4 linked regions of the Notamacropus eugenii genome follow. The protein of the gene in region 2 purifies or fractionates together with the protein of the main gene of each other region. This does not show direct contact. Links are inferred from orthologs where the notes say so. Each region holds a gene or a part of one and is shown on either strand. Other genes may lie near its edges. The genes, in order: RBBP6, ZC3H18, VIRMA and SRRT.

What was found.
Region 1: the proteins of ZC3H18 (region 2) and RBBP6 purify together in Homo sapiens (affinity purification with mass spectrometry; 3 studies listed by BioGRID and IntAct, counting the BioPlex papers as one, with this or other methods). This does not show direct contact. The link is inferred for Notamacropus eugenii from reciprocal best matches to the Homo sapiens genes ZC3H18 and RBBP6.
Region 3: the proteins of ZC3H18 (region 2) and VIRMA purify together in Homo sapiens (affinity purification with mass spectrometry; 3 studies listed by BioGRID and IntAct, counting the BioPlex papers as one, with this or other methods). This does not show direct contact. The link is inferred for Notamacropus eugenii from reciprocal best matches to the Homo sapiens genes ZC3H18 and VIRMA.
Region 4: the proteins of ZC3H18 (region 2) and SRRT purify together in Homo sapiens (co-immunoprecipitation; 4 studies listed by BioGRID and IntAct, counting the BioPlex papers as one, with this or other methods). This does not show direct contact. The link is inferred for Notamacropus eugenii from reciprocal best matches to the Homo sapiens genes ZC3H18 and SRRT.

What each region holds. Positions count from the first base shown.
Region 1 is NC_092872.1:59,381,061-59,388,236, forward strand, and holds the start of RBBP6 (E3 ubiquitin-protein ligase RBBP6), read right to left. Parts: upstream 3,001-7,176; coding exon 2,835-3,000; intron 1-2,834. UniProt on the Homo sapiens protein: E3 ubiquitin-protein ligase which promotes ubiquitination of YBX1, leading to its degradation by the proteasome.
Region 2 is NC_092872.1:705,297,997-705,304,821, reverse strand, and holds the start of ZC3H18 (zinc finger CCCH domain-containing protein 18), read right to left. Parts: upstream 3,023-6,825; 5' UTR 2,793-3,022; exon of another isoform or gene 2,685-2,792; intron 1-2,684.
Region 3 is NC_092875.1:158,466,632-158,473,840, forward strand, and holds the start of VIRMA (protein virilizer homolog), read left to right. Parts: upstream 1-4,186; 5' UTR 4,187-4,373; coding exon 4,374-4,436; intron 4,437-7,209. UniProt on the Homo sapiens protein: Associated component of the WMM complex, a complex that mediates N6-methyladenosine (m6A) methylation of RNAs, a modification that plays a role in the efficiency of mRNA splicing and RNA processing.
Region 4 is NC_092873.1:79,879,738-79,887,545, forward strand, and holds the start of SRRT (serrate RNA effector molecule homolog), read right to left. Parts: upstream 3,021-7,808; 5' UTR 2,681-3,020; intron 1,233-2,680; 5' UTR 1,204-1,232; coding exon 1,082-1,203; intron 1-1,081. UniProt on the Homo sapiens protein: Acts as a mediator between the cap-binding complex (CBC) and the primary microRNAs (miRNAs) processing machinery during cell proliferation.

The sequences.
Region 1 (7,176 bases), about 650 Mb from region 2:
CAGACCATGGTGCTTACTTACCATGGTATTGCAAACTTAAAATAAGATGAAACATAAAAAAGTAGGATGCTAGAAGATCTGACTAACAATTTGAAGATTGACTGTCACTGCCCAGTGTAATTCTCACATTATCTTGACACTGAAACTTTTACTCAGTACCTACCAATTCCAAATTTATAGGGCTCAAATATAACTTAGCCTGATATCACATACAAGGAAGAAAAGAAAAAGAATGCATGGAAATCGTTTGAACAACTTTTTCTTAAACAGATTAAGCTGTAGAAAAGCCTTATTAATACCCAAATTATCACCACTCACTTATTTAAGTGGGCTCCCAAAGGACATTTAGCAATCGCACTAGCCTAGGTAAATTATTACTTAGAAATACATTAAAAATATTACGTAAGATTAAACAACAAAACACCAACCCTTAGAAACATAGCAAATATGCCAAACCAGTGAGGTCTTATTGTAATCCAGTGAAATTTTGAAGCAAACTTGGTGTGAATTTTGAAATGGCTTTTCTACATTGGAAGTTATACATTTGAAACCTGTTTTGGCTGTTCCAGTTAAAAATGGAATTCTGCATTAGCACTAAAGAACTCAAGGTGAGATGTTATCAGTGTACTGGTTTTATAGAAAGTCAGTATTTAGAACCTAATTATAGTCTCAAAATAAAATTGAGTGACACAATTCTTATTCATTAATTCTTAGTTAATAAGGCTCATAAAAATAGCCAATGTTTTTATATTAAAAGAGCTTTTAGCAAGTTAACATGCTGTTAAAATCATATGGGGCACTAATAGAGTAAATCTATACTAAAAGAGTTTGATAATTTGCAAACTATATATTAGTATAGGCTATCACTTACCAATGTAAGAATTTATCAGATGCCTTGTATACATCTTCCTACAAGTGAATTTTGATTTAAGCATGCTACATCCAAATGTATTATTTATCCAAATGAAAAAATACTTAAAGGAGTCATTATAAAGCTTTAAGAAACATAAAGTAAGTTATGAAACTTAAAGGTTAAGGTAGGAAACTTAAAGTTCTCAAGGGCTATTTGTAAAGTCTAAGATTACAAACCACTTTCAAAGTGTATTTTCATTTGTTTCTTTATGAGTGCTCAAACTGATGGCTGGAATAAGGACTAGTACCCAAAATAAAATTAATTTTTAGTTATATCCACAGTGCGCGCCACACTGGAGGTGCTTAATAAACGGTTGGTGAATAATTTTATGAAGGAATCACAAATATTTTTTAAAGTATTTCAAATAAATCCCCATACAACTTGTTCACATCAGTACAGTGATGGAAGACATCATTCCTTTCCTTTTCCTACTAAATACTCCAAATCTTGCTGAATATGGTAAATGATACAATGCATTGTAATCAATGAATAAAAAACAATTTTTTTAACTTTAAAGCAAAATAGTTTTGGTTAAAACAAAAAATGTCTTCTAAATATTGAATAAAAAGTACCTATGTTTTGCAAAGGGGCAAAATTCTTCTTTGCTTAAATTACATATTACAGTGTTGTACCCTTAACAAAAAAGTCACTGGTCACTGGTGTTTAAAAAAAAACCTCCAAACAAACCAACTCCCAAATCTCTAGCCAATAGTGCTATGATCTAACAAAACTCTAGGATAGCTATAGATGCACTGGAGAAATGAAACCTATCATTTTACAATTAAGATCAACTAAAGTAGATATTTTAAAGGAATGAATCTCACAACATTTCCCAGAATACCTATTTAAAAATTAACATTAAAATTTTACTTTCAGCATCTCTACCTAGGGAATCCCACTAAAGAGAAGGTTTGATGTAGTGAGACTTTTAGGAACTCAAAATCTTAAATGTTCTAACTACACAAGGCAACAACTCCCTTTAAAAAATCTTAACCCCCACTAAATGTAATTTAAAACAAAACAACTATCTATTTGAATTCCTTTGAATCTATTACAATTCTTTACCATTTAAGTTAATGATTATTTTAAAATCTTCAAATTGTCCATTCAAACTAAGAGCTTTCAACAAGGAAGTTTTCCTTAATCTGTGCCAATATGGAAACTTCTGGCCTCTTTGCAGCATGTTCAAAAATCACTAAAAGTCTCCTAGGTATTAATTTCAAAATCAGCACTCAAAATTCTAACTAGAAAAATTGTATAAAACTGAGCACCTCTTACGATCACCACTGATTAGGGACTCTAAAAACACACAAAAGAACCCAAACATTTTCAACACTGAAGACTAGGTGGAAGAAATTCCTTTATGGCAGTTAATAAAGGAGAACCCCCACCTTAGTACTGCATATAATTTGGGGGATGAGGTGAGGAGATAAAGGGAGTTAAAATAAAAAAGACTAAGGAACCCTACCATCTTATTACATATGAGGGAAACCGAAGCAATTGGTCATCCTTTCCCCAAAAATCCTTTAACAAGACTTGCTGTGAAGCAGTTTTCACCAAGACTAAGGTCTTTCCCCTTCCCTCTCCACTAGGGCAAGTGTTAAGAAGGAGCCAGATGGCCAAGGGGCAGCACACAGCCTCAAAGTGCAGATCCAAAAAGCCACAAGTTGTATAACTAGACAAAAACTAACCTATCATTCACTTACTTCAGTTAATCTGCAAAGAAAGCGGAAATAAGAGATCCAGAACTGGATTAAAACCTCACATTTTCTATGGTTTTTTTTTACTCTAAGATGTTCTAAGAGTTTAAAGGTTTACAAAAAATAACTTTGCCAACACACATAACCTCTGCAAAGCAAAATTACAAGTAAAGTTTCCAAATCGAAAACCAATATTGATTAGGGCCCTGCGGGGCTCATACCTTCTTTCGTTTGCGCATTGGTGATCTGTAGATCGCAGTCAGCAGCCTTGAGCTTCTCTCTCCCCATGATTTGCTTCTTCAAATCACACAGGGAGATGTGCAGTCCATCAAAGGTAACGGTATCATAGTTGAGTTTGGAGGAAAATTTATAATGCACACAGGACATGGTGCCAAAAGTTCCCTAAGGCTCAGCGATGAGACGTGACACTCTGAATTATACGTATATTTATAAACTTAAGAGATATGTACACACACAGAAACACTCAGAAACTGAGGGAACCTTAGGCCTTATTGCCCCCCCACCACGAGTGGGGTTCTGAACCAAGAATCCCCCCCAAAATATTCAAATCACTTCATGGAGAGATGGGAGCGGGAGGGTATGGGGGAAGGGAGTTTGGAGGGAGGGCCTGGGTGGGGAGGAGGGAGAAGAGGGAAAGGAGAGGAAAGGGATCCAACGGGGAGAAGCCGTACAATGTCACCCAGCGGGGCCCCCCTCGCTCATGCTAAGGGATTGCAGGAGACAGGCAAGCGGGCGGCGCAATCAGCAGCAGTCCAGGGAAACAGTTCGAGTCCCCCCCAGAGGGATCAGGGGTCCATCGCGCCGCCACCTCCCCTCTGTCTCTTTCCGGCAACGAGGGCGACCCCAGGCCCCGGGAGGAGGGGAGGACGGGGCAGAGTCCGCCAAGGCCACAGGCCTCCTGTTTGCCTGCCTGTCTGTCTGTCTCCTCCTGGGGCGGCCGCCTGGCCGAGCTCGGCTCCCGGCGACTGCAGTTTTCTTCCCGATCGGCGTCAGCTCCCGGGCCCGGGCCCCCGCCCCGGCCCCCTTCCCCCCTCCTCCTCCTCCCCGTACACGGAGTCCCGCTGGGAGGAGACACGAGCACCCCGCAAACCTAGGGGAAGCGGGGCAGAGAGGCCTCCCTGACGGGGTCGCCGCCGCCTCCGGCTCCTTCTCCCCCTCGGCCGCGGAGACCGCCGCCGCCTCCTCACAGACAAAGCTGGGACTAGGCCGCACTAGGCCCGGGGCCTCGCCTCACCCCAGCCCCGAGCCAGCACAGGGACGCTGTGCGGGCCCCCGGCCGCCGCGGCCACCTTCCTCCTCTTCCTCTTCCGCTTCCCTGGGCCGGGAACGCCAGAAACCTCGGGCTCCGAAATCGACGATGGCGACGTCTCCTTCCTCAGCCGGTGAGCCCTTCAGCAGCGACAACTCCGGCCAGTCACTATGGCGGCCGCTGCTCTACTCAGCCTGAGCGCCCCAGTGCGGGGTCTCTTAAGCAGGCGCTGCACGGGCTCCGCGCGGAAGGCGGGGACAGGGAAAGGGGGCGGAGCCTCAGCGCGTCACAAAGCTCGCTGTCCCCCGCCACGTGACCCGGCGCATTATGACAAGCGAGGGCAGACCCTGTTTGCAGAAGGAAGAGACCATCTGGCTTGGAGTGGGGTGGGGAGGAGGCAGAGGGGAGGGGCTCATTGGAGGGCTAGGGGGGTGGCGGGGAGAAGGCAAAGAGAAGGCGAACCGACCGCAACCCGAGGGGCTTCCAGCGGCCCCCGGATCGGAAATGACTGAGGGCCTTTAGCGCTGCGCAGTCAGCGGGGCAGCGGAGACGTGCGCCTCTCCGGGAGCCTGCGGGCCCTGCTCTCTGTGGGTTTTCCTGGTGTGCCGTTGCCTTCCCCGGTAGATTCAGGCAAACAGAGGTTAAGTGAGTTTCCCGGGGTCACACAGCTATGAAGTGCTTGAGGTCATATTTGAACCCAGGACTTCTTGACTCCAGGCACTCTGTCCACCGAGCCACTTAACTGCCTTCTGTTCAGGTGGCTTACTAGGTGCTAACTTGGGGACAGAAAGAAAAAGCAAAAACCAAACAAACCAACCCCCCCCCCCCCAACAAAACAGTTCTTGTCTTAAGGGACCTACAATCTATGTATTACTTTCAGGAAGACCTGAGTTCAGATCTAAACTTAGACACCTCGCTAGCTGTGTGACCTTGGGCAAGTCATCCTCAGTCTCTTCATCTGTAAAATGGGTATTATAGTAACAGCACCCACCTTCCGGGGTTGTTTTGAAGATTAGATGAGATTCTTTTTGTAAAGCTGCAGGGCTTTTAGGTTTGCAAAATACTTTACAAATATCATCTCATTTTATCCCTAGAAAGTAGGTGGGTGTTATTATTATTCCTGTTTTACAAAATGAGAAACTGAGGTTGAGAGAAGTTTAATGAAACAACTTGCCTGGGGCCACACACGTTCAGATGGATTCAAACAAGTATTCTCACTTAGTTAACAAATGAAGTGGTTTCAGTCTCCTGTTAAACTGGGTTTGTAACTTTTTATCCTCTTGACTCTTTGTTCTCCCTCAGCTCATATACTTAATCATTGCTAAATCTTGATATTTCTTCCTCAACAATATCTCTCACATCAATCTTTTTCTTGAGTCATTGCATCAAAGAAGTAAGAGTCAAGAATGACTCTTGGCATGTAGATCTGGGTTACCAGGAGGAAGGAGGCGCTTTCTTCAGAAATAGGGGAGTTCAGAGAAGGGGGAATTTTGAACATGTTGAGGTTCAGAAGGCAGTGGAACATCCAAGTGGAGATGGCCAGCAGGGAGTTCAGAACTGGAATTCAAAAGAGATGAAGGCTGAATGTACTGATTTTTGGAGTCATATGTATAGAGATGATCATTGAACTCATGGAAATGGATGAGATTAGTAAAAGAGTGTAGAGGGAACAGACTTAGGTGGCAAAAGATAAATGAAGATATAATAGAGGAGACTGAGAAGGTATAGACAGACAGGTAGGAAGAGAAATAGGAGAGAACAATGCCATAGAAGACAAGGGAGGACAAAATACACAGGAGGAGAGACTGGTTCACATCATCAAAGGCTACAAAAGAGCAAAGCCCATAGGATTTAGCAGTTAAGAAATTGTTAATAAGTTTGGAGAGAGAAATTTCCATCAGTAGTGGGGTTGGAAATGTATCACAAGGGGTTTAAAATGAGAAAGAAGTAGGGGCAAGAAAAGTGGGTGACATTCTAGCAGGTTCCCCATCCCTTTCTAGGAGGAGACTGGCTGTTCAAGGGAAAAAACTATAATTAATAGTTTGAGGAGATAGTAAAGTCTACATAAGAGTTGGTTATTTTTTTTGTTTTTTAGGCTAGAGGAGAGTAGTTAACTCTTGTAGCCAGGTGCCCATAGATAAGGAGGGATTACTGATGAGAAGGAATTATCAAAAATATAAACTTTCAGAGCACTTAAGTAAAGTGCTTGGCCTTAGCAAGACAGAGGGTCACCTTTTCCTCAGAGAATGTAGTAAAGGAGGAGAAAGCAGGGGTGATAGAGGAATTCTGAGATGTACAGAAAAAGAGAGAGCCCATGGTAGTTGGCCTTGATTTTTTTCAACAAAATAGGAAGCAAGATTATCTGCTAAGAGGAAGTGGGTTAGGGATAAAGGAGATAGCTTGGAATATCAACCAAGAAGTGGGATAGGGAAAAATAAAAGGATTCCCATGCCAAAGTGAGGGCCCAGTTGAGATTACATAATATAGACTCTTCTCCAGTTCTTCTAGCAGAACTCTAGCATGGGGTTGGGGAGTTACAGCGTTGGGTAATCCAGGTTTTGCATTTGGCAAGGAACAGAACTGGTCAATTATTGGATCAAGAGAGTGAAGGGAGAACGAGGCCAGAGCAGGAGGGATGGAATGAACGAAAAGAGCAACAGTAGGTGATCATAACAAAGATTTGCCAGCTCTTGATCCCTGCCAGCAATTGCCTAGAACTGTGATTTTATTGGTGTAGGGAATTTTCAATGAGGAAACTCCTTGGTCTAAGGGTACTCAGTAAATTATCATGCTTGACAGTTGCTCGGAGCACTGAGAGGCTGAATAACTTGTCCGGGGTGACTCAGCCTATAGGTGCCAGAAGTGAGACTTGACTCCAGGCCTTCTTGACTCTGAGGCTGGTTCTGCATCCATTATGCCATACACACTGATGTAGTCTTAGAACCCAGGATCATCCATGCCACAATGAGTCACTGGAATGGGACTTTTGAGGAGGTTTCTCATGATACCAAAGCTAGATAAAGTTGTGGGTCTGTGGCCCTGAAGAGGAAGAAAGTTCACCTTCTTTTTGTTTTTGAACCTTACAAAAACCATAAACATGATCTATCAGAGCCAATAAGCATTAAGTGCCTGCTATGTGCCAGATACTGTGTTAAACTTTGGGGATCCAAAAGAAAAGTCATAAGTCAGTCTCTGCCCTCAAGGTGCTCACAATCAAAAGAAGATGATACATAAAAAGATGAAAGGGCTAAGTGGATGGGGTATGGATAGATATGACGAAGTCCTGTAGCCAG
Region 2 (6,825 bases):
ATAAAAAGGACTAATTCAGAAAAACCTGGTTTACTTTAGTTTTACAAATGAGACTTTCTGAACAAAAAAGTCTTAGCTGACTTCTAACAATTTTGACCAATTTTATCTTCTTAGATGAACTAATACTATCTATCCTATGATCATGAATTCATGTCAAGGTTTAAAGCCTAACGTTCAGGACTTTGTTCAGACATTTAAGGAATTGCCTATGACATATGAGATATGATTGAAAGGATGAGAATGATTTTTAAGAAGCAAAAATTTGCGATTCATGATTTCAGCAATGTGAACGCTCTCTCCATACAAAGTCTGTGATAACTGCACACCTAAATAGATTACATAAATGAAAATTCTGGGACCAAATAAATTCATCACCCTATCAGGGTTCTGGTGATAAGACTTCACTGGGTCTGGCTGGTCCTCAAACAAGTCCATTGCCAGGGTCCTACTCAAAATTTTGTTAGGACCTGCTAGACCTTTGTGCTCTGCTGGCACAACCTTCAAGAATGCAGTATCACCTCCACACCATCATAAAGCAACTAGAGAAATATTTTGGTTTTGTTTTTACATCTAAATTATGAAAAAAACCAAAATGTAGTCACTCTGCAAGAAGACATGTTTATTCCAACAAATAAGGCTCTTTATAAGACAAAAGGAAATTTTAGTAACAGTTCTATTTAAACTCACTTTTAAAACTTCTCTTTCAGTGTATATGGCAGTATTTTCAAATATATTAAATAGTGGCAAGTCTTTGTCCTTTGGGGAACAATCTGAATTCAGAAAGAGTAAAAAAGCAAGCAATCTCAAATCTAATGAATAATTGAAAGACTGAGCTGAGTAATAATATTTTTAGCCAAAAAGCAAGGGCTACTATAAATAATCACCTTGATATTCTTCCCTAGCTTGTAAAGGCTTTGAAGGCAAAGAGGACTCCTTAAAATGTTTTGCCCAATAACAGCATTATTGGAATAAGTATATAGCTTCCCAAGGGACTTGTTTGAAGGTCAATATTCATTTGGCTGTATTTTTAAAATTTTACTTTTTAAAGCATTCTTACTTTACAGCCATAACTCCGAGACCACAAAGGAGAGAAACCCAAAAGGTGAACACTCCCAGAAGGAAACAGTATGGCTGGGGACTGAGCATTAATTTCCCTCAAATTTAACTATGAGACTCATTGCTCTATGGCTCCCCCAATGTCCTAGGGCAGTCATTCATGCTTGAACAATCAAGAATTGCTGAAAGAAGTCAAAAACTACTTTGATCACAGGCAAGGCTTTACTGCACCTTTTCTGAAGCGGCAATACTGTTTCTCTGTGGTTACAGATGACCATTTAAAGACTATGGACACATCTTCTCAGGAAACTGTATGGCTATCAAACAACTTAAGATAAAAGGTTTCCTGGACTTGATGAAGCTGGCTCAATCAATAGTCAAGGTTTATCCTCTGAGCTACCCCAATCTTTCAGATGGGGCAAGGGTAGGGTGATCCCAGTCCCATCATCAAGCAAAGAGCTAAATCACTAAAAAGGAACTTAAGGCTTGCTGGTCAGAAAAAAAACTAATGATATGTCACAAAATGGCATACACTCACAAACGCACACACAATGAGACTCTCTTCTCTTATTTAAAAAAAATGTAAAATTCTCCTAAATTAGCACAGGTCCTGACACATAGCAAGCGCTTAAATGCACGACTTGACAATGGACTTAGAGACCTCGACGATCTGACCTCTCAGAAGCCTTCTTTCCTCATCTGTAAGATGAAGTAACAGTTGCACTAAGACTTCCAGCTCTTTGTGAACCTTAAACTGCTGTAGGAATATTTTTAAAGGTAAATGCGATAAAACTTGCACGCTCCACAACAAAGCACAGACAATCCCTGTAGCAAAGTCTAGGTTTCAGCGTGAGCTCAGGCACAAGAGCGGAAACCTTCACTTTCCCCAGCATGGCTACAGTTACTTCGAGCCCATCCACAACCCTCCCACTTTGCTTCCATTTCTTAATCAGACAGACATGGAAGTTACGCTGTCGCTTTCTTCTTTCTAAAAGGTGCAAGAGTGGCCTGGAGCACAGCCAGCCAGTACGCTCCAGAGAGGAAAGGCAGCAAATTCCACCCAAAAGTTTCTCACGCCACAACTTTCCGCGGAGGGAAGCCCTCGTGGACCGCAGCCGCTGGCCTTTGTGGTCGGTCAGCACGGGTCAAGTAAAGCTCGGGCCCAGCATCCGTGACAGCTCCGGAAAAGCCAGGCAGGCGCTCAGAGCGACCCCCACGGGCGGCCAGCCCCCAGCGCAGCCAGCGTCTCCAGGTTTCGGCCGCAAGCGGCCCGCCCTCCCGGGGCAGTGAGGGAGTGTGACCGCGCGTGCTTTGGGGCTGCATTCCCACCCCACCAGCCCCGAGCGCGCCGCTCCCCCCACGGAGCCGGGCGCCGAACCTGGCCCCTCCCCCCCACGCCCCACGCGCGCACGCGCACACACTCGCGCGCGCGCCGGGGGAGCCACGAGCCCTGAAGTGCTCGAGCCCCGAGCCCCTCCCCCCTCCCCGCCTCCGAGGCCCCCGCGCGCGGCCCGGCCTTTCGTACGGGGCCGCCGCTCCCCCCGCCCCGGCCGGCCCCCGCCGCGGCCTCCAGCCCAGGCCGGGCCTGCGCCGCTGCCGCCGCCCAGTCCCCGGCGCCCGCTCCTCACCTCACCTCAGCGCGAGGGCGGCCGCGGAGGAGAGGAGGGGGACGGGGCGGGGGAGGGGGGACGGCTGCGCGGCGAGGCGTCTTCCCGGTCCTTCCGCTCCTCACAGACCTTGGCTGCTTCGGCTCCGGCTCCGGCTCCGGCTTCGGGGCGACGCGGGCGGAACAAACGGGCTCCACTACCCGCGGGGGCCGGCCATTGTGCGACGTCATCAGGCCGCGACCGCCTCTCTCCAGAGAGCGGGCTTCCCTCCTCCCTCCTTCTCTCCCTGGCCTGGACCGGCCGCTCCGCCCCCTCTTCTCTCCGCGCCGTGCCGGACCGTGAGTGCCCTGCGTGCTGTGCGTGCCACGCTTAAAGAGACAGACGCTGCCTTTAGCCTGAAACCTTGCCGCAAAGGGAGGCGGGAGGCACTGGGGGAAGATAAATGGAGGCATATGGGTCAATCAGGCCTTGAAACCAATAAAAATGCAGTATATATGTTCTGGGTTTTAGCCACCATTCAGCACGCTGGAGAGTCAAGGACAAAACGAAACAGCTCTTGCCCTCAAGGAGCTTAGCATTCTAGTGTGCACATGAAAAGAAGATACTTTGTTGCATCTCAGCTTTGGAGGCTGCATTAAGTGCAGAATCACCGGCAAACAGAAAGTCATGCACCAGCACTCGCTCCACTTTGGTCTTGGCTTGTAGCCTTTTCAAATTGAAGAATTTACGATCAGTACAGTAGTTGACCTTGATGCCATGTTCATCCTCACTGAAAGCATTGGACAACATGGCTGAAAACATCATGCTAAAAAGCATGGGAGGAAACACACAGCCCTGTTTCACTCCATTGATGACTGGAATTTTCTGTTTGCAGATGATTGTGCACTCAATGCAGCCTCGGAAGCTGAGATGCAACAAAGTATGGATCAGTTCTCTACTGCCTGTGCTAATTTTGGCCTAATAATTAACACCAAGAAAACACAAGTGCTCCATCAGCCACCACCACACCATCCAGACGTGGAACCATCTGTCATAACAAATGGAGAAGTTTTGAATGCTGTGGATAAGTTCACTTACCTTAGTAGTATATTTTCCAAGGATGTACACATTGACAATAAGGTTGATACATGCATTGCCAGAGTTAGCTCAGTATTTGGGAGGCTCTGAAGAAAAGTTTGGGAGAGAAGAGGTATTAGACTGACTACCAAACTGAAGGTCTACAGAGTGTTGTGCTGACCTCATTGTTGTATGCCTGTGAAACATGGACAGTCTACCAGCGCCATGCCAGGAGACTGAATCGTTTTCATTTGAACTGTCTTAGGAAGATTCTGAGGATCACCTGGCAGGATAAGGTACCAGAGACTGAAGTCCTTGCTCTAGCTGAACTGCCAAGTATTCAAACTATGCTTCAGAGAGTGCAACTCTGATGGGCTGGCCATGTTGTTTGAATGTAAAATGTGCACTTGCCAAAAAGACTATTTTATGGCGAACTCATATGGGGCGTTGCAATCACATGGTGTTCAGAAGAAGTGATACAAGGACACTCTCAAGGTCTCTCTCAAGAACTTTGGATTTGATTGTGGGACATGGGAGACACTGTCATAGGACCACTCAGCATGGTGTGCCCACATCAGAAAGGGTGCTGTGCTCTATGAGCGAAACAGAATTGAGACAATACAAAGGAAATATAGGATGTGCAAATTTGGAGTAACCACCCAAAATGTTCATATAGACTATCTGTGCCCAATTTGTGGTAGAGCATTCCAAGTTTGTATTGGTCTGATCAGCCACAGTCAGACACACTGAAACTTGACCTTATCATGGTGATGTCATTTTGGTCCTCTTCGAGAACAAAGGACAACAATCAACCATACAAAGAAGATACAATGTAGCTTTGGGGAAGAGGGAAGAGCGTGGGGGGAGGGAGGTCCCCCAAACCAGAGGGAGACCAAGAAGGGCCTAAGCCTGGTGGAGAAGACAGTATTTGAGCTGAAAAGGATTCCAAGAGGAGGTGATGGAGATGGAAAATGGAATGCTAAACATGTCTGTGATCAGGGGCGGGGCAGGGGACAGCTGTAAGCCATCAGAGTCCCGTGGGTGAAGGGGAGGAAAGGGAAGAAAAGAGATTATCAGATTTTCAAGAGCTTGTTTACTTGTGTTGGCACATAGGTGGTACTTAATAAATGCTTATTAACATTTGGGCAGTTAGTGGAGGAAGTGGACAGAGTGCCAGACCTGGAGTCGGGAAGACATCTTCCTGAGTTCAGATCTAACCTCAGACGATGGCTGTGTTGCCCTGGGCAAGTCACTTAACCCAGTTTGCCTCAGTTTCCTCTTATATAAAACAAGTTAGAGAAGGAAATGACAGACCACTCCAGTATCTTTGCCTCCCCTGCAACCCATATGAAGTCACAGAGTCAGACACAATTGAAAAACGACTAAATAACAAGCAAAAATGTTTATTGAATGGATGGGAGTTTATTATGGCTGGGTTAGAAGTGGCAGTGCTAACATGATAAAACACCCTTTAGGAAAAATTGCTTTGACAACAAGTCCCCACCCACCTAGCACAGAGTGAATGTAAATACTAAATAGTAACTGTTTCTCTTTTACCCAGGGACCATGAGGTTTCCTTTCCCAGTTTGATTTTTTTCTTTTATTAAAGGGGTCATCCCTTGACTACTTAAAGAGGCCTCTTCAGTGAGAATGTACTAAGACCTTAGCCTAAAAGGCCAAGGTCTCACATTGCATCTTGGGCCATCTCTAGCCGTCCTGATGAAATCAGGCCAACCCAGATGGCTCTGAAGGAGAGAGTGAGGTTGGTGACCTTGCACAGCCCTCCCAAACTCAAATCAAAATCAACTGCAAGTCATGTCATCATCTTGATATCATGGTCCTCTTCAAGAATGAAGGAAAAAGCACAGCAGCAACTATGTTCCAGGCACTGTGCTAGACACTTTACACATAGTATCTTATTTGTTCTTTACAACCACCCTGGGAGATAGGTCCTATTATTATATTCATTTTACTGATTAGGCTATTGAGACAGACAAAGGTTAAGTGACTTGCCCAGGCTACCTACAGGGTAGAACAGGTAATAAGTGTCTGAGGGCAAATTTGAACTCATTTTTTCCTGACTCCAGGACCAGCTATATCTACTGGGCCACAGAGCTGCCTCCCAAGGAGAAACATTGTATATAAAACCTCAGTGGCTGAAGGGATAGTGGTACCTAAACAGAAATAGAGAAGTCTGGAAGAGTGATTTAAAAAAAAAAATAAAGGATGAATTCCATTTTGAGTTTGGATGCTTCAGGAAATTGGATGAGTCTGATGGGGTACCAGCCCAAGGCAAGACCTTCACACATTACCCCAAAAGAATTTGAGTCCCAATGGTCCATAGGCCCTGGAAAACCCCACCTTGAACTCTCCTTGAATCTTCCCACTTATTTAGTTTTTCATGCCCAAATGTTACCCTTAACCTAGCCTAGTCCTCCATTGTCTGTTACCTCCACATTGCCTCCTGCTACTTCCTACCCTTGATCCCATCGAAATCTCATTTTCCAATTGAAAGCAGTCACCAAGTGAGAGAATGAAGAAAGCAGAGGGGCTAGGGTCTTTGGGATACACTCATGGGAATGTGATATGAATGATGATTCAGTCAAGAAGAGGGAAAAACAAAAGGTCAGGCAGGTAGGAAAAGAACCAAGAGAAAACTTAGAAAAAAAGAGGAGGCAGTATCTAGAAGGAAGGAGTAGTCAACTATCAAAAACTGTTTTAATCAGAAGCCTTAAAACCTATATTGATAATTCTATGGACTTTCCTTATGAAATACCTGAGGCATTGCATCTAGTAAGCATTTAAGTGTTGTATGCAGGATACCCAGACTAAGTGAAGCAACCCTGGAAACCTATGTATTATTGGGGAATCAATAAACATTTATTTTGTCCTGAGGCCAGCTATACAAAAAGAGGCAAAAGCAACGTAAAACCTAATGGGGAAGACAACATACAAACAAATATATACAAACTGTACAGGATAAAGAGGAAATAATAGAAGGCATGAGAATTAAGAGGGCTTGGACCCTTTGACCCAGCAATATTGCTACTAGGACTGTATCCCCAAGAGATCATAAAAATGGGAAAGGGTCCCACATGGTCAAAAA
Region 3 (7,209 bases), on a different chromosome or scaffold from region 2:
TATTGCAACTATTAGAACTCATCCCCTATGGTCAGCAAACTTACACTACTACTAACACTCCCAAACCTTGTGATATTGCCTAAGAGTAAACTTTTTCCATCAGCTCTGCACTGTTTAAATCATTCAGTACAGAAAGAGGGGTGGGCATGGTCTCTATCTTTACCCCTATCCCATAATGTGGCTTTAACTCTTAGTGTTTCTCTAATTGTGGAGGCCAGGTTGGTGATCCTCTTCTTTTCTCTAGAGAATGCTGCTAAGTAAATCATCTTCTGTCTCCCAGAAGGTCTGATTCCTGAAATCTTTTACTCAAGGCTGCTCTAAGGGCAATCCTTATGGTTAGGGCTGCCAGTCTCTTGACTGGCTAGGAGGTTAGATTTCCATATCATGCTGGTTATGAAATCTTGATTTACCTGTTATATTATTATATCTGTATTATAATATGCTTGAACTTAGGGTTATCCCCAAACAACTCCAAACAGCCCAGAAAAATCTCCCTCCTCTACCTAGGAAATGACTCTAGGATCATACTGCCAAAGAAACAATTTAGGACATTGTCCATGAACCACTTTAGGCTGAATCAGTCAGCACATTTTTGCTTCTGCCACATGCTTCTGCAAGTTTGGAAGGTGTACTAGTTCACTGTCAGAGGACATATATTTGAATCCTACCTCTGGTTCTTTCTACTTGTGCGACATAGGGGAAAGTCATTTAAACCTCTCTGAATCTTAGTTTCTTCATCTTTAAAATGAGGGTGTTAGACTAGATGACCTCCAAAGACTTCTCCGACTTTCAACCTATGATCTGATACTTCAGCCTTTGGATTGAAAGAGTCTGCTCTCAGGAGCCCTCTTCTTAGGCTACATCATAGGTAAGCAGATATTTTCTCGTGTGCTTCTACTGCAAGTCGACATCAACTATTCCTGGAGGTTGGGGGGGAGGGAAGAAGAGGTTTGATCCTCCACCCACTACCAACCCACCCACTACCCACCCAATACCTTTGTGATACTCTCGGTACTGCAGAAGAAAAATAAAAGGCAAAAAGGTAAAAAAGACAAAAAGAGCTGAATGCAATTTGTTATTCTTTTACCACAGAGAAGTGGTTCTTTATATTAGACTCTAATCTCCAGAGTCCCAGCTAGCTAATCTTTTTGGGGACAGCCCCAGTCCCTAAAACTCAAATAGGAGGCATACCTGGTTTATCAACAAGGTAACAATTAGTATGTCCATTCTTTTAGGGGAGAGGTATGCTCAAATATCCATGCTAACTACCACTCATAGGACAGACAAGTCAGCCTAGTAGAAGCAGCAAGGCACCTTGAGGGAGAGACAAGAGGTATATACTAGGCAGGTCAAATGACCACTATTAACTTTATCACTACCTCCCCTGATTCAATGAAGACAGTGCAGGGCCCAGAATCCAAGAGCCTTTGTAATAGCAATGCTTCCAGGCCAACATCTTTAGCCATCATCCTGGGAAGCAGGAGATGCACATCATCTGCTCTGCAAGTGGTAGTCACAACTATTGAAGAACCAGAGAAGAAAGTTCCTGTCACTAAAGTCCTTGGTACTATTAAATGGTTGGACATCACAAAATAGTGGAAATGATATTGAAGAAAAAGCATTACCATGTTGTCTCTACTCAATAAATGCCAGTGGTTTTCTATTGACTCCAGGAGCAAATATAAAATGCTGTTTGGCATTTAAAGCTCTTCATAACCTAGCCCCACTCTACCTTTCCAGTCTTCTTATACCTTACTCCTCAAAACATACTCTTTGATACAGTTACACTAGTCTTCTGGCTGTTCCATTAATATGACACTCTATTTCTCACCTCTGCCTGTCCCCATGCCTTGAATTCTCTTTCTTCCACTTGCACTTATTGAGCTTCCTGGCTTCCTTTAAGTCCCAACTAAACTCCTTCCCACAGGAAGCCTTCCCTAATCCCCCTTCATTCCAATGTCTTCCTTCTGTGAATTATTTTCTATTTATCCTTTATGTAGCTTACTTGGTATATATTTCTTTGCATGTTGTCTCCCCATTAGACTGTAAGCTCCTTGAGGACAGAGACTGTCTTTTGTCTTTTTTTGTATTTCTAGTACTTAGTACAGGGCTTGACACATAGTAGATGCTTAATAAATCTTTATTGAATTGAAATGAATTGAATCTGCTTTGTTGCTGCATTCTAAGGACTACAGGATCTTTTCATTTGATTTGCAACTGAAACCTTCATCTGCTGTCCCCTCCATTGGAACATAAGTTCCTTGAGGACAGGGACTGTCATATCTTTTTATTTGTATTCTCAGATTTTGGCAGAGTGCTTTACACACGGTATTATTCTCCTAACACTAGATTAGAAGTCCCCAATGAGCCAGTAGATTCAGTTTGTTAGCAAAAGCATTACTCAAATGGCATAGCAAAAATGGTAGTTATAAAGCTTTCCCCCTAGTCAACAATAATTGATTTATTGAGCATTTGTACTCCAAAGGAGAAATATGCTTATCAAAATGACCAAAGGGAACTCTTTAGATTAATTCCCTTCGCTTCATGACATGAAATTATAAATGGTATGTTTATCGGATTTTCAGATGACAAAATGCTGAGGCACAGCTAACCATGTTGAATGATAGAATCCAAAATGATTTTGACAGGTTAGAACTATGAATGAAACATAAAAGATTAAGTTAAAAAAAGATAAATGTAAAATATTACATGGGTTAAAAAAATCAGCTTCCCTTTTATAGGATGAGACAGACTTGCCTAGGGAAATGTTTGTATGAAAAAGGATTAGAAATTTAGTGGACTGGGAGCTTGATATGCGAATCGGTACAGGAACAGGATAACCAAAAATTCTAGTGTGAGATCAAACAGTATTCTGAACAAGACAGGAAATATTACTCTAGTTTATTCTGGTTGTATCACATGTGGAGTGATGTATTCAGTTCTGGGTGCCACATTTTAGGAAAAACTTTAAGGAACTGGAGCTAGACAAGCTAAGTGAGAGGGCAGGCCAACCTGCCAAGTGGGGATTGGTCAAAGGACTGAGGAGACTGAGCATAGAAGGGAGAGGATCAGGGGATAGAGTATGACCATTGTCATATATTCGAAATTGCTGAAATGTGGAAGGAGATTAGGTTTGTTCCCCTTAAACCCAGAAGGCAGGACTAAGAGAAACTGCAGATGGGGAGATTGAGAGTTGGTTCGAGGAACACCTTTCTGACAAATCGGCGCTGTTCCAAGTGAAATGGGTTGCCTTGGGAGACAATGGATAGATACTCCACACTGGAAGTCTTCAAGTGGAGTATGAATGCCTGCTCTCCCCCTAAGCGCCACTCCTGGGGTGCTAAGTACTACTACTGTCCCCATTTTATGGCTGAAGAAACTGAAGCGGAAAAGGTGAGCTGCTCATCTAGAGTCAGATACTCCAGGCGGGATTTGAACCCATTCTCTTCCCGACTTTCCAGGTTCCTCCGTCCGATCAGGGCCCCAGGGGGCATCAGAGGCACCTAGCAAGCCCTTCACTGTTTGCCACCAAGCCTTACTTGACCCATGAACACGGATGGGCTCACTAACGGAGAGCAGGAGAAGGCTCCCTGCCTTCTGCGTAAGGACGGACAGTCCGGACAGTCCGGCGAGTCCTCGGTCCTGCGCTCAGGGAGCCCAGTCCGGAAGGGGGCTGCTCTGGCTCACGTGACGACCCAGGGAGGTAGCGGCTCTAATGAACCACCTCGCACCTCCGCCGCACGCTTTTTGGGGTTTGTTTTGTGGTCGTTCTGAGCCTGGGGTGACAGCGTACGGGGGTCACCGACAGGCTACTGGACCCTTGGCTCAGGGGCCAGGCTTCCGGGCCGGCCTCCCCAAACCCATTTTCCAGATGGGACAGCGGGCTCCGGGCACTCAGGTGGACTCGCTGCAGGTTCCCCAGATCTAACGGGCGAGGCCGCGCCGCAGGACTGGTCTCCCGCCTTCTCTGGCCTACGGGACGAGGTCCCAGCGTTAAGGGCGGCGGCGGAGGACGCGCCCATAACTGTGGGCCCAGAAAGATAAGCTTCCTCCTCCTTCCCGGCCGCCCACTCGCCCAGCGCGGTCCACATCACCGCACCACCACATCCCCTTGGCTCTCTCGGGCACCCGTAGCATCGCCGAGATGCTCTGACCCTTCTCCTCCGCGGAGGCCCGGGGTGGGGCTAGGGTGGAGGAAGGAGACGGCGACGTAACGGGACGGGGCGGGGCCGAGGGACAACGTGAAGGCAAAGGGGGAGTTGGAGGTCGGCGCAGGCGCGCCGGCGACGGAAGTGCTGGTCCTACGGCTGCTGCGCTGCCGCGGTCGCTGTGTTACCCCGGAAGTTCTGCCCCTGCCCCCGCCCGCGGCAAACATGGCGGTGGACTCGGCGATGGAGCTGCTATTTTTAGACACTTTCAAGCACCCCAGCGCTGAGGTAATGAGGCCGGGCTCAGCCTAGCCCCTTCCTCTTGCCCCGGGGACCCTTCTGGGAACGCGTGGGACGGGCCTGGGGCCCCATTGCTGTCCCCTTCCTCTTCCTTTCCGCGGGGCGGCCGCCCTGCAGATGGAGCCCGGGGGCGGCCGCGGCCCTGCTCCTCGCTCCCCGCTGTGGGTGGGGGAACGGGGAGGGAAGCACCTCCGGCGCCCCCGAGAGGGGGTTGTCGCCGTAGGGAAGAGGAGGGCGATTTCATAGCGCGGCCTTTTCCCTCTGCCTTCTTGCAGTCATTTCTAGGCCTGCAGTGCAGCGAAGGGAGGATAAAACTGGGGAATGAATGACCGTGGCTCCTGGGGTCTCCCGGGACCGTGTCCTTGAGAGGTCAGGGAGAGCACCTTGATTGCGGGAGAGAAAGAGAGGTAGAGCTGATGCCTCGGGTTTGTTGGATCCTTGTTTGATCGCTTAATTTCCTCCCTACCACCCCCAGCTCCATTTTTCCTACTGACGCTAGGTGGAAAGTCCAGATACCAACTGTTTTACTATGGGAATTGAGCAAGTCTTCCGAGTCAGACCACTGTCAGTCCATAAGACTTATTGCTTGGGCATCCTCTTTGTGCCAGATTTTCGGAGAGGGGGACGGCTTAGGAGATTTGGAAGAGAACGGGGTTCAGAGGAAGTCCATTGGGGAATCGTTGACCTGAATAAAAGTAACTCCTCTGGTCCTTTTTTTCGCTTTTAGAAGTTGCTTTTGGGTGCACAGAACCATTTAATTAACTAGTTCAGCAGCACATAAGCTCTTTTTTTGCATATTTTCTTCAGTTCTTAGAGCACTTTGCTAATTAGGTTAACATTTACCGTAGAACAGTGATCTTTACCCTTTTTTGTGTTACAGTGCCTATGTAATGTGAGCTAGACTTTGCAGAGGCTACTTTCATTATTACACTGGAGATCAGGCAGGGCAATTCATTCATTAAAACTATATTGAGCACCTACTGTGTGCAAGCTGCTGTGCTTCTTAGAAAACTTTGTATAAATTGTGAAAGAAGCTGCACAAAATCATTGCTGCTTCTAAAATAACACAAAAAAGAAAAAAGGTACTCCATTGATGGGGGTGTTGGTCATTCTAGTAGTGTCTTTTTGTAGGAATTAGAGTATTCGGTGAATATTTACTGAATATTTCTTATGGATAAAGTTTTGCTGTAAAGAATAGAAAGACATAACATTTGGTTGTAGTCTGCAAGAAATTTAGTAACATTAGGGTTGGAAGAGACATTAAAGATTACCTAGCCCAATATTTCCCAGTCTGTAGTCCAAGAAGACTGGAGGAGTTACTGTAGGAGGATCCTAGTAATGTCTTTTTGCCAGGTATCATCAGTGACTTTGGCTTAGATAAAGGAGTATGTTGCATGTTCGTCACATTTGAAGATGACACAAATCTGGGAGGATAACGTTGGATGGCAGGATGCAGAAGGATTTTGACTTGCTACAGCATTAGACTGAATCTAATAAGGTGAAGTTCAGGGGGGTAAATATAAAGATTTGAATTGAGTACACAAAAAAAATCAATTTATAAGTATTAGAGGCATAGTTAGGTAACTTTTGTTCTGAAAAAGATCTGAGGGTTTTAGTAGGCTGCAAGCTGACTCAGTGTGATTGTAGCAGCCAAAGAAACTAATATGATCTTGGATTCCATTAAGTGATGCATAAACTATGTTTCAGGACAGGGATTGTACCATTGTGTTCTGTCCTCATCAGACTTCTTTTGAGTATTGCATTCCATTCTGGGGACTACGTTTTAAGAAGAACATTGATAAGAAGATGGAGAGTGCTCAAAGAGGGCAACTGAGATAGTGAGGGATCTTGAATGCATGTTATTGAGGATTGGTGGAAGAAACTGTCAGTTTAGCCCAAAGAAAAGATGGCTCAGGAGGAACATGATAGTTGTGTTCAAGTATTTTGAAGTGCTCTTCTGGTGAGAGAAGGATTAGACTTAATGTGTTTGTCCCTAGAGGATGTACTAAGTAGCTATTGAATGAAGATTACAGAGAGGAAAATTCAGGCTTGATGTCAAGAAAAACTTCCCAACAATTAGAACTGTTCAGAAGTGGAATGGATTGCCTCAAGAAATGTGGTTTCTCCTTAGTTCGAGGTCTTGAGGCAGAGACTGAATGACTACTTGCATATGTTATATGTTATATATATGTGTGTATATATATATATCTATATATATATATCTATATATATCCTATATAGGGATTACTTTTGTGTATATATAGGTTGAACTAGAAGGTCACTAAGGTTTCTTCTGTCCCAAATTCTGTAAATGTGATTGTGATTTTTGCTCTTTAGTGCCAACAGAATATGTAGTGTGACTCAGTATAATAAATGAGAAAACATATCAAGTAGATTAAATAAAAAAGAAGTTGAATTTATATATTGCTGTTTTCAAGTATATGTACATGTTATTGTCTGAATATAATAAAATATTATTTTAAGTTAATTTAGAAGCCTTATTGCATCCAAAGAAACTTTTTGTCATATATTTTCTCAGTCACTGAACAGTAGTACCACAACTGTTCTGCATGATCATGAGTTCTGCATGATTTTTTTAAAGAAAGAGTTACTCATATGCTTTGCAATCATTGATGTAGTCCATACTCCTCATTTTATAAAAAAGGAAACTGAGACCTAGAAAAAGGGAAATGACTTCCCAAGGTTACTCAGCATGTTGACAGAATAAGAAATCCTAGGTTCCCTGACTCCCTATCTAAAA
Region 4 (7,808 bases), on a different chromosome or scaffold from region 2:
GTAACGTACATGTGATGCTCAGAATTCCCAATGCTTCCTCCTGACCCCATTGAGAGATATGCTCAGATCTAAAACATGGGACAAAACCTTAGGAGAGTATGGTGGGAAAACCAAAATAATGATTTTAAACAATAAGGGCAATATAAATTTAAACAACTCAGATTTTTCACCACATACCCATTATATTAGCAAAGATGACAAAACAAAAATGACAAAATGAGAGTGTCCTCTTGTTGGGTTGTGGATGAATCTGTTATTAGATCTGTGAATTTGTCTAAATGTTCTGTAAAATAACTCAGAATATTAAATGGGCACACCTTTTGACCCCAATCATACCACTACAAGGCATAGTCTCCCAAAGAGAACACTGAAAAAAAGGACCAAATGTAAAACATATATATATGTATATATATATATACATACAGATACACACACACACACACACACATACATATAAAACACCACGTTTTATGGGAGAAAACTGAAAACATTAAGTGAGGAATGAAGTATAGCTAAGTAATGGAATATTATCACATAGTAAAAAATGAGTATGAAAATTCCAAAAACCTCAGAAAGGCTTATATGATCAGATGGAGAGGAAAAGTAAACAACCAGGGAAACAATGATAACAACATTGTAAAGGAAAACAACAATGAAAAGTCTTTAGAATTCTGATCATTACAGTGACCAATCATTACTTTGGAGACCTGGTCATGAGCTAGAAGTTTGGATCTGAACATACATTTTCAGAGATGTCAAACGAGTTGTTAGACTAGGCTTATGTTACAAGAAAGATCTGGGGAAAATTTAATGGGAAGTGACTGGGATGTCCCCCGTAAGAAGGAAAATCAATAAACCAGAAAAAAATACACGTAAGAAAATAAACTTCAGGCAATCCCTCAGAAAACATTAATTTGTTAACCGTACTTAAAAACAAAATCAAACTATACATAAGAAAAGTTTGGTTTAATATACATTTAATAAGCACATAATAAAATACACTTAATATATATGTTTGAAAGGTTTTTGATGATTAAACTCATAAAGAAAATATTTATATAAAAGAATCGGACTATTTTACCGATCATTCCAGTCATCTCCCCTCCGTCTCTCATCTCTTTCCCTTGAACGATCATAATCACTTCGTTCTCTTCGGAATTTGTCCCTTCGCCTGCGGTCATACTCATCATCGCTGTCACCCATAGCAGAAGCTGGAAAGTGACCAGAAGCACCTGGTAGTAAACAAAAGGGGAGGAAATAAGCATTACAGCTCCTACTTCATGCTAGACACTATGCTAAGTACTTCACAAATATTACCTCAATCGATCCTCCCAACAACCCTTAGAGGTGGGTGCTTTAGGAATGGGTTACACAACTAGTAAGTATCTGAGGCTAATTTGAACTCCTAAATGCAGGCCAAGTGCTCCATCTACAGAAGAGCCACATTGACTTTGCCACCAGGGAGAAGGGAGTATAGAACACTCCCCTCTCTGGACCTACTCAAGTCAATTTCACCATTCTGCCCCCCCATAAGGCAGCCACTGCTCCCCTATGTATCTCTAAATAAGATTCCTTGCCCCACTCCTGCTCATCTTATCTAAAAAGACAATTTCTCTTCCTTTTCCCTCCCTTCACCATGAGGGTCCCTTAGGTTTCTACTCTTTTCTAATATTATTCTTCCACGTGTTCAAGAGAACCTGCCATGGCCCTACTACCAACAAGCTACCCTTACATTCCCAAGTCCTTCCCTCATCAGAGCAAAAAAAAAAAAAAAAAAAAAAGACTTTACTCAGCCTTTAAAGTTTGCAAAATGCTTATCTTGATAAAGAACGGCTAAAAAGGAAATTACCAAACTTTCAGAATTTTGGTCCAGTGTTATTTTCAATTATCCTCTAGACAGTTCTAAGCCTCATCATCCCTAATCCTGGTAAAATCATAGTTTTTATCATCAATTTAGGGCTGAAAGACCCAGAGACAAAGGAGCGTGGGGATTATCTAGCTCAACTCTAAAAAAATCACTTTGTAATCATAGATTAGAGTTGAAAGGGACGCAATGATAAAAGGACGTTGGAGATTATTTAGCCCAATCCTCTTACAGATCAGACTAAAGCCAAATCATTCCTTCTCACGGCAGACAACTAGAATTCAGGTCTTTCCACTTTAAATCCAGAGTTCGGTTCACTTTACAATAATATCCCTAACCAAGGCTCCTTAATTTTCTCCATCCCCAACAATGCAAACTAGCTCTTGTTCCCTCAGACATCTCTCTTTCCAAGAAAGATAAGAGTCCCACTCAGAGATCTTCCAGTTCTCCTCTCCACAGCTTCCAAGCGTTCAAACAGATACAGACACACAAAGACACCCCCCCCCATCCCCCAAGCTGTGCTCTCAGCTCCTGGACCTCATTCAGAACGTACTCCCCCAGCTCTGAGCCACCAACCATAAAAGATATTTATAAAGTAGTCTTCCAAGTTCTTTCAGAGAGCACCCAGGAAGGTGACCGGGGTGGGGGAGGGGGGAGAATGTAATTAGGTCCTGCACTATCCCCCATCTTCTGGGGCCTGTAAAGCTACATTCCCGCAGCAGACCAGGTAACCGAGGCCCCACACGGGATGGAGGGGGAAGGAACGGAAACGCCCCGCAACCCAGGCACCGCCTCGGAAACCCATCCCCTCCTCACCTCAGGCCCACCTCAGGCCAGGCCGGCCTCTGCCTTTCCTCTCCAGGAAACGAAGGCGGCTCGGCTCGGCGGCAGCCGCGTCGTCTTTTATCCCCTCTACTGCTGAGGGAGTCGGGGAGGGGGAGGCGGAATCCAAGGCGGGATTCACACAAGTCTGCGTGAACACAGCAGGGGGAAGCGGGGCAATTAGGGGCGCGGGGGCGACGGGGAGGGCCGGAGGGTCAGAACTAAGACGTGACGAAAACAGCTCACGGCCGAGTCCGCGCGCGCCGTTCCTTCTGCAGTGTCTGCTGGGAGCGACTGTGGCGTCGGCGTCAACGTCGACGTCAGCGCATGCGCCGCTCTTGGGTCGCGTTCTGTTTCTCTAGGGGCCTGGGCTGAGAGTTCCCGGATGGACGGAGGCGGAAGTGCCTGGAGAGGGGGCAAAGGGAAGCGGAGGCGTACGGCGTTTTGTTCCGTCTTCAGTTGGGTTCACTTACAGTTCCTGGCACACGTAATGTTCAAGACTCGGTGCTAAGCTTTTTGGGAGTCAGAGATGAGAAATGACACAGCTGTTGCCTTCAAGGAGCTTACGATCTAATGGGGGAGGGGAAGGAGCAAATATTATTATATTTGGGTGCCAGGCAGGGCAGCTAGGCGGCGCAGTGGATAGAGCGCTGGGCCTGTAATTAGGAAGCACTGGGCCTTCAGATACTGCCTCAAACACTAGCTGTGTGACCCCGGGCGAGTCCATTCTGATTGCCTCAGTTTCCTCATCTGTCAAAAGTTATCTTTGCCAAGAAAACAGCATCACGAAGAGTCAGACTGCAGGAGAATAGATGCCAGACAGTAATTTTACAAATATTTCATTTATGGAATGGGGAAGGACACATATACTGCCAGTGATCTCTTAAAAATGAATTAAACTCATTTTACATATAAGGCCACCCTCTAAAAAAAAGGGACGTAGATTAGTTTGCCTACTGTCATTATATAAGGTGTCGTCTGTGGATCTAATACATAATTCACAAAATACCAATAATGGTTTCCCTAGACCTTATCGTGAATGGTATTATATAATTCCCTAGTTCTTTGGCCCATTCTTTCAGAATCCTTGTAATGTCACTATTTTTAATATTGTGATCTGCCCCTCATATCAGGAAGTTCCTGCAAATTTTTAGTTTAAAAACATCATATTTTTCAAGCAAAGCATGCCTTATCTAATCAATGGGCTGATCCAGAATGGCAATATTTAAACTATTTTCCCTTCACTAAAAAAGGATATACGGAATAATTAAATATGTTCTCCTCATGGGAGTGAGTTTTCTATTGTTAATGGTCATCCTTCCCTAATTGCGTCCTTGCTGGTCTATGGAAAGATGTCCCCCGCCAAACTTAAAGAGAGTGGTATCTTTGCATGAATAGCTTTTTGGTAATGACTGGGAAAAGCATCTCAATTTATTTATCAAAAAATTATCTTACTGAGTTAGAAAAAATAATAAAGTTCCTTTGGAGGAATAAAAGGTCCGAAACTTCAAAGAAACCAGGGGAAAACATGTAAAGGAAGTAGATTGAATAGTATCAGACCTTATACTATAAGATGAAAGCATTTTTGAAGTGTTAAATGGATAATTTTGATTGTTTTAAATTAAGATTTTCTTGTACAAATAAAACTTATGCTGCCAAGAATAGAAGGAATGCAGAAAATTGGGGGAAAACTTCCATAGACAATCTCTCAGATAGGATTAGAATATTGCTGTGGTATAGGAATAATAAGCTGGTTGATTTGGAAAAACTTGGATTTATGAAGCAAAATGCTTTCCACCTTCAGAGAAATAGATGACAACTGGAAATAAGCATAGTTTGCATTACATATATGTGTATGAGTGTATATTGTAATATGTGTATATTTGTGGATATCTGTGTTTATATATTTATCCTCTTAATTTTAGGGGGAGGGAGGGAAAGAAAATAAGTGCAAAGAGTGCACAGCAGAGAACAAAAGAAAACCTACAAGGAAGCAAAGAAAAGTTGGCAGCTTTGAAAAAAATGTGTAGTATTGAATTACTTTTACTTGGCTTTTCTGGATTGAGTTTTAGCTAATCAAGTGCCTTTAATTGAATGAAGAGTCTTTGATTGATTGCTTGGAGAGAGTAGAGAGAGAAGCAGAGCTAAGAGAGAGGTGAGTGTGAGCAGGCTAGGAGAACTTGCTTGTGGGGAGCCCTAATAGAAAGAATGTTTGTGATATCAGCACTCCCTCTGTTGATGGGTTGATTTATCAGACAGAAGTCCTGTCTGTTGGTCTGTGTTAATTTCTCAGACAGAAGCTCTGTGGGTCTTTATGAGAGAATTGAGCTGAAGAGCTGAAATCTACCTATGGGAAGGAGCCTTCCCTTAAGCCCCTTTTAAGCCCTGTTAAAGTGAACTGAGATAATGCTGCTGGTAATGTGTACAAATATTGTTATAGCCTTGTTAAGCTTTGTTTTCCTAGAAACAGAAACTGCAGGCAGAAGCCCCTGGAACCTGCTGTCAGACAGAAGCAGGAAGAGTTTGGAGTGGAACAGTCCCTGGGACATGAGACAAGGAGCAGGAACAGACAGCTGCCTATGTGTGAACCCAGGCAAGAGCTGGAGTGGTCAGCCCATGGAGGAGGAGCCATGGAGTTTGGAAGTCAGCCTCAAGTCAAGATGAGAACTTTACAACACAACACTGTGTATTGATTAAGGAGATTGTTCTTATAGTGACCTAGGAGTAGATAGTGTGCTATTTTCTGCTACCTCTTAAGGATGCAAGGATGTATCATGCTACACAAGACCCTAGCCTAGGACATCCTGACTTTGGGGATGCAATGACATATGCTATGAGCCATATGGCATACTGAGTATTATATATATATTAGATGATATACTTTGCTTAAGGATGTTGCTATGAATGCTATGCTACTTTACTGAAAAATGTTTATTGCTGAATAAATAGAGAATTCATTATACTATGCCATTAGATCCTTAAAAATTATTCACAGTAGCAGTCCTCAGGTGTGCTGCCAGGATTGGCATTACAGTAGGACAAAATAATTAATCCTTCCTGCCCTGTAATGAAGATTAGCGACTATGCAGGAAGCATTATCATCTTTGTTGAACATCATCTGATATTCCTAATGCCACTCCTGCTTATGTTCACCTTTAAACACTGAGAAAATCACTGTGAACTGCGTAGATTTATAATCACCTATCACACAGACCATGATCATTTAGAACCAGGATCCAGTCTTTGGTGAGAAAGAAAGCTAAACTGACCTAAATTAGGTTAATCTTTGTTCTTCAGGTCTAGAATTCCTCAGGTATAGAATTGCCCCTCCCTCACCCCAGGGAAAGTGGCTTTTATCCTAAATCTCAAAAGACCTGTACCAAAGACTTAAAATATCTTATGTGATAGCTGTAATTCCAAACCAATACCCCATTTTTAATATGAGTTTAAGAAAATAATCACCCAGCTACACACACACACACACACACACACACACACACACACACACACACACACACACACACACACACACACACTCTCACACACTCACACATTACTCATAGGCTAGCCTTGTTCTCTGTTACATGGTCATATTTCTGTTATACACAAAAGCCTGTCCACAAGAATACCTTTTTATACTTTCTTGGTTACTTTACCTGCAATAATTTTTTAAAAACAATTTTCAAGTATTAGAATCTTAGTAATAATTATGAAATAAAGGGCTTATCCAAACTAGCTTACTCCACCTAAAGTACCTGGTTCATAGTAGGACTTAACACATACTCGTTTCCTTATGTGACATACTTTCTGAACTGTATTGGTGTTCTAGATACATATTTTAAATATTTGCTATATGTATCATTGTATAATATATATTAATACATGAAAAAGTTGTAATATATGTTGATACATGGAAAAATAACTAGTGGTTTTGAGTTCATATATGTTACTTTGAATTTTTGTTACACAGTTTTTCATAAAGCATTATTTGCTGCAGTAATATGCATTTATTATTTGTAGTTACATTCTAATCTTAACATTCTGATAATAATGCTAGCTTAGTCAAGGTTTTTTACCTCTCGTACTATGCTATTCTCTTTCCAATTCTTTTTTCCTAAAGCTCTCTTTCCCCCCCATTTTTTCCCTTCAAGTGCTCCCTTTCCTTGATAAAACCATTTTAAAACTCTTAAGAAAAAAAACAAAACTTTTGCATCATCTCTTCTAGGAATTTTAGTTGAATTTTTATCCAAGCTGTGGTTTTTCACTGAGGCTTTACTTGTAGATGTTTTGGAGCCATTATCTTCTTCTGGGTTCATGTCTTGAGCTTCCCTGCCACCATAACAGAATTTTATGGTGGGATTCTTTTTATTTGTTAATTTGCTTGCTTACTTGTTCTTTCAGCCTACTTCCTAACTTTAGACTTGATATTAGGGCTGGACTCTGTGACACTTCTGGAGACAGGGTCTGGACTGGCCCTATCGCTGCTTTCTTAAGATATTAGGTGTTGTATTATTCCAGGATCTCAAGGACAGGTTGAGTACTGTAAATTGTCAGTGCTCCCAAGGTGGGATCTAGAGAAAAGTCTAATTGCTACCCTCTGGTCTGATCTCTGCAAGTTCCTTACCTCAGTTTGTATCTGAGCATGCTCAGACTAGCTGTATTTAATCCTTATCAGTCAGCTGAAAAGCTTTCTTTTTTTTTTTCAAAATGGCAGAATTATAGACTCCACTTTGGGCTGGGATTCTTATGAGCTGGAATAGATGCTAAAAATGAGACCCTACTCAGGCCTGGAGTCTGAACTGTACTGTTTCTGATTGTTTCTGAACTGCCTTTTATTAAAAAAAAGTTCCCTGTCTCTGTACCAGAGAGTCTCACCCTTATTCACAGATCTCAGTCTACTCTGAATCTGTGACTCAGATGTGAGTAGGGGGGCAACAAAGATGCTGATTTGCCTCTATCCCTTTTGCAGTGCTGTAGTTTGGGTCTATTAGTTGTCCCAGTGTGGGTCTGGGCTTCTCCCTGGGCACTGGAGTGCATGATCCTGACCCAAACCCATCCCTTACATCTATATACCTCTCTGCAAGTCCTCCTATGCTGTTTGTATAGACAAATGACTCACATT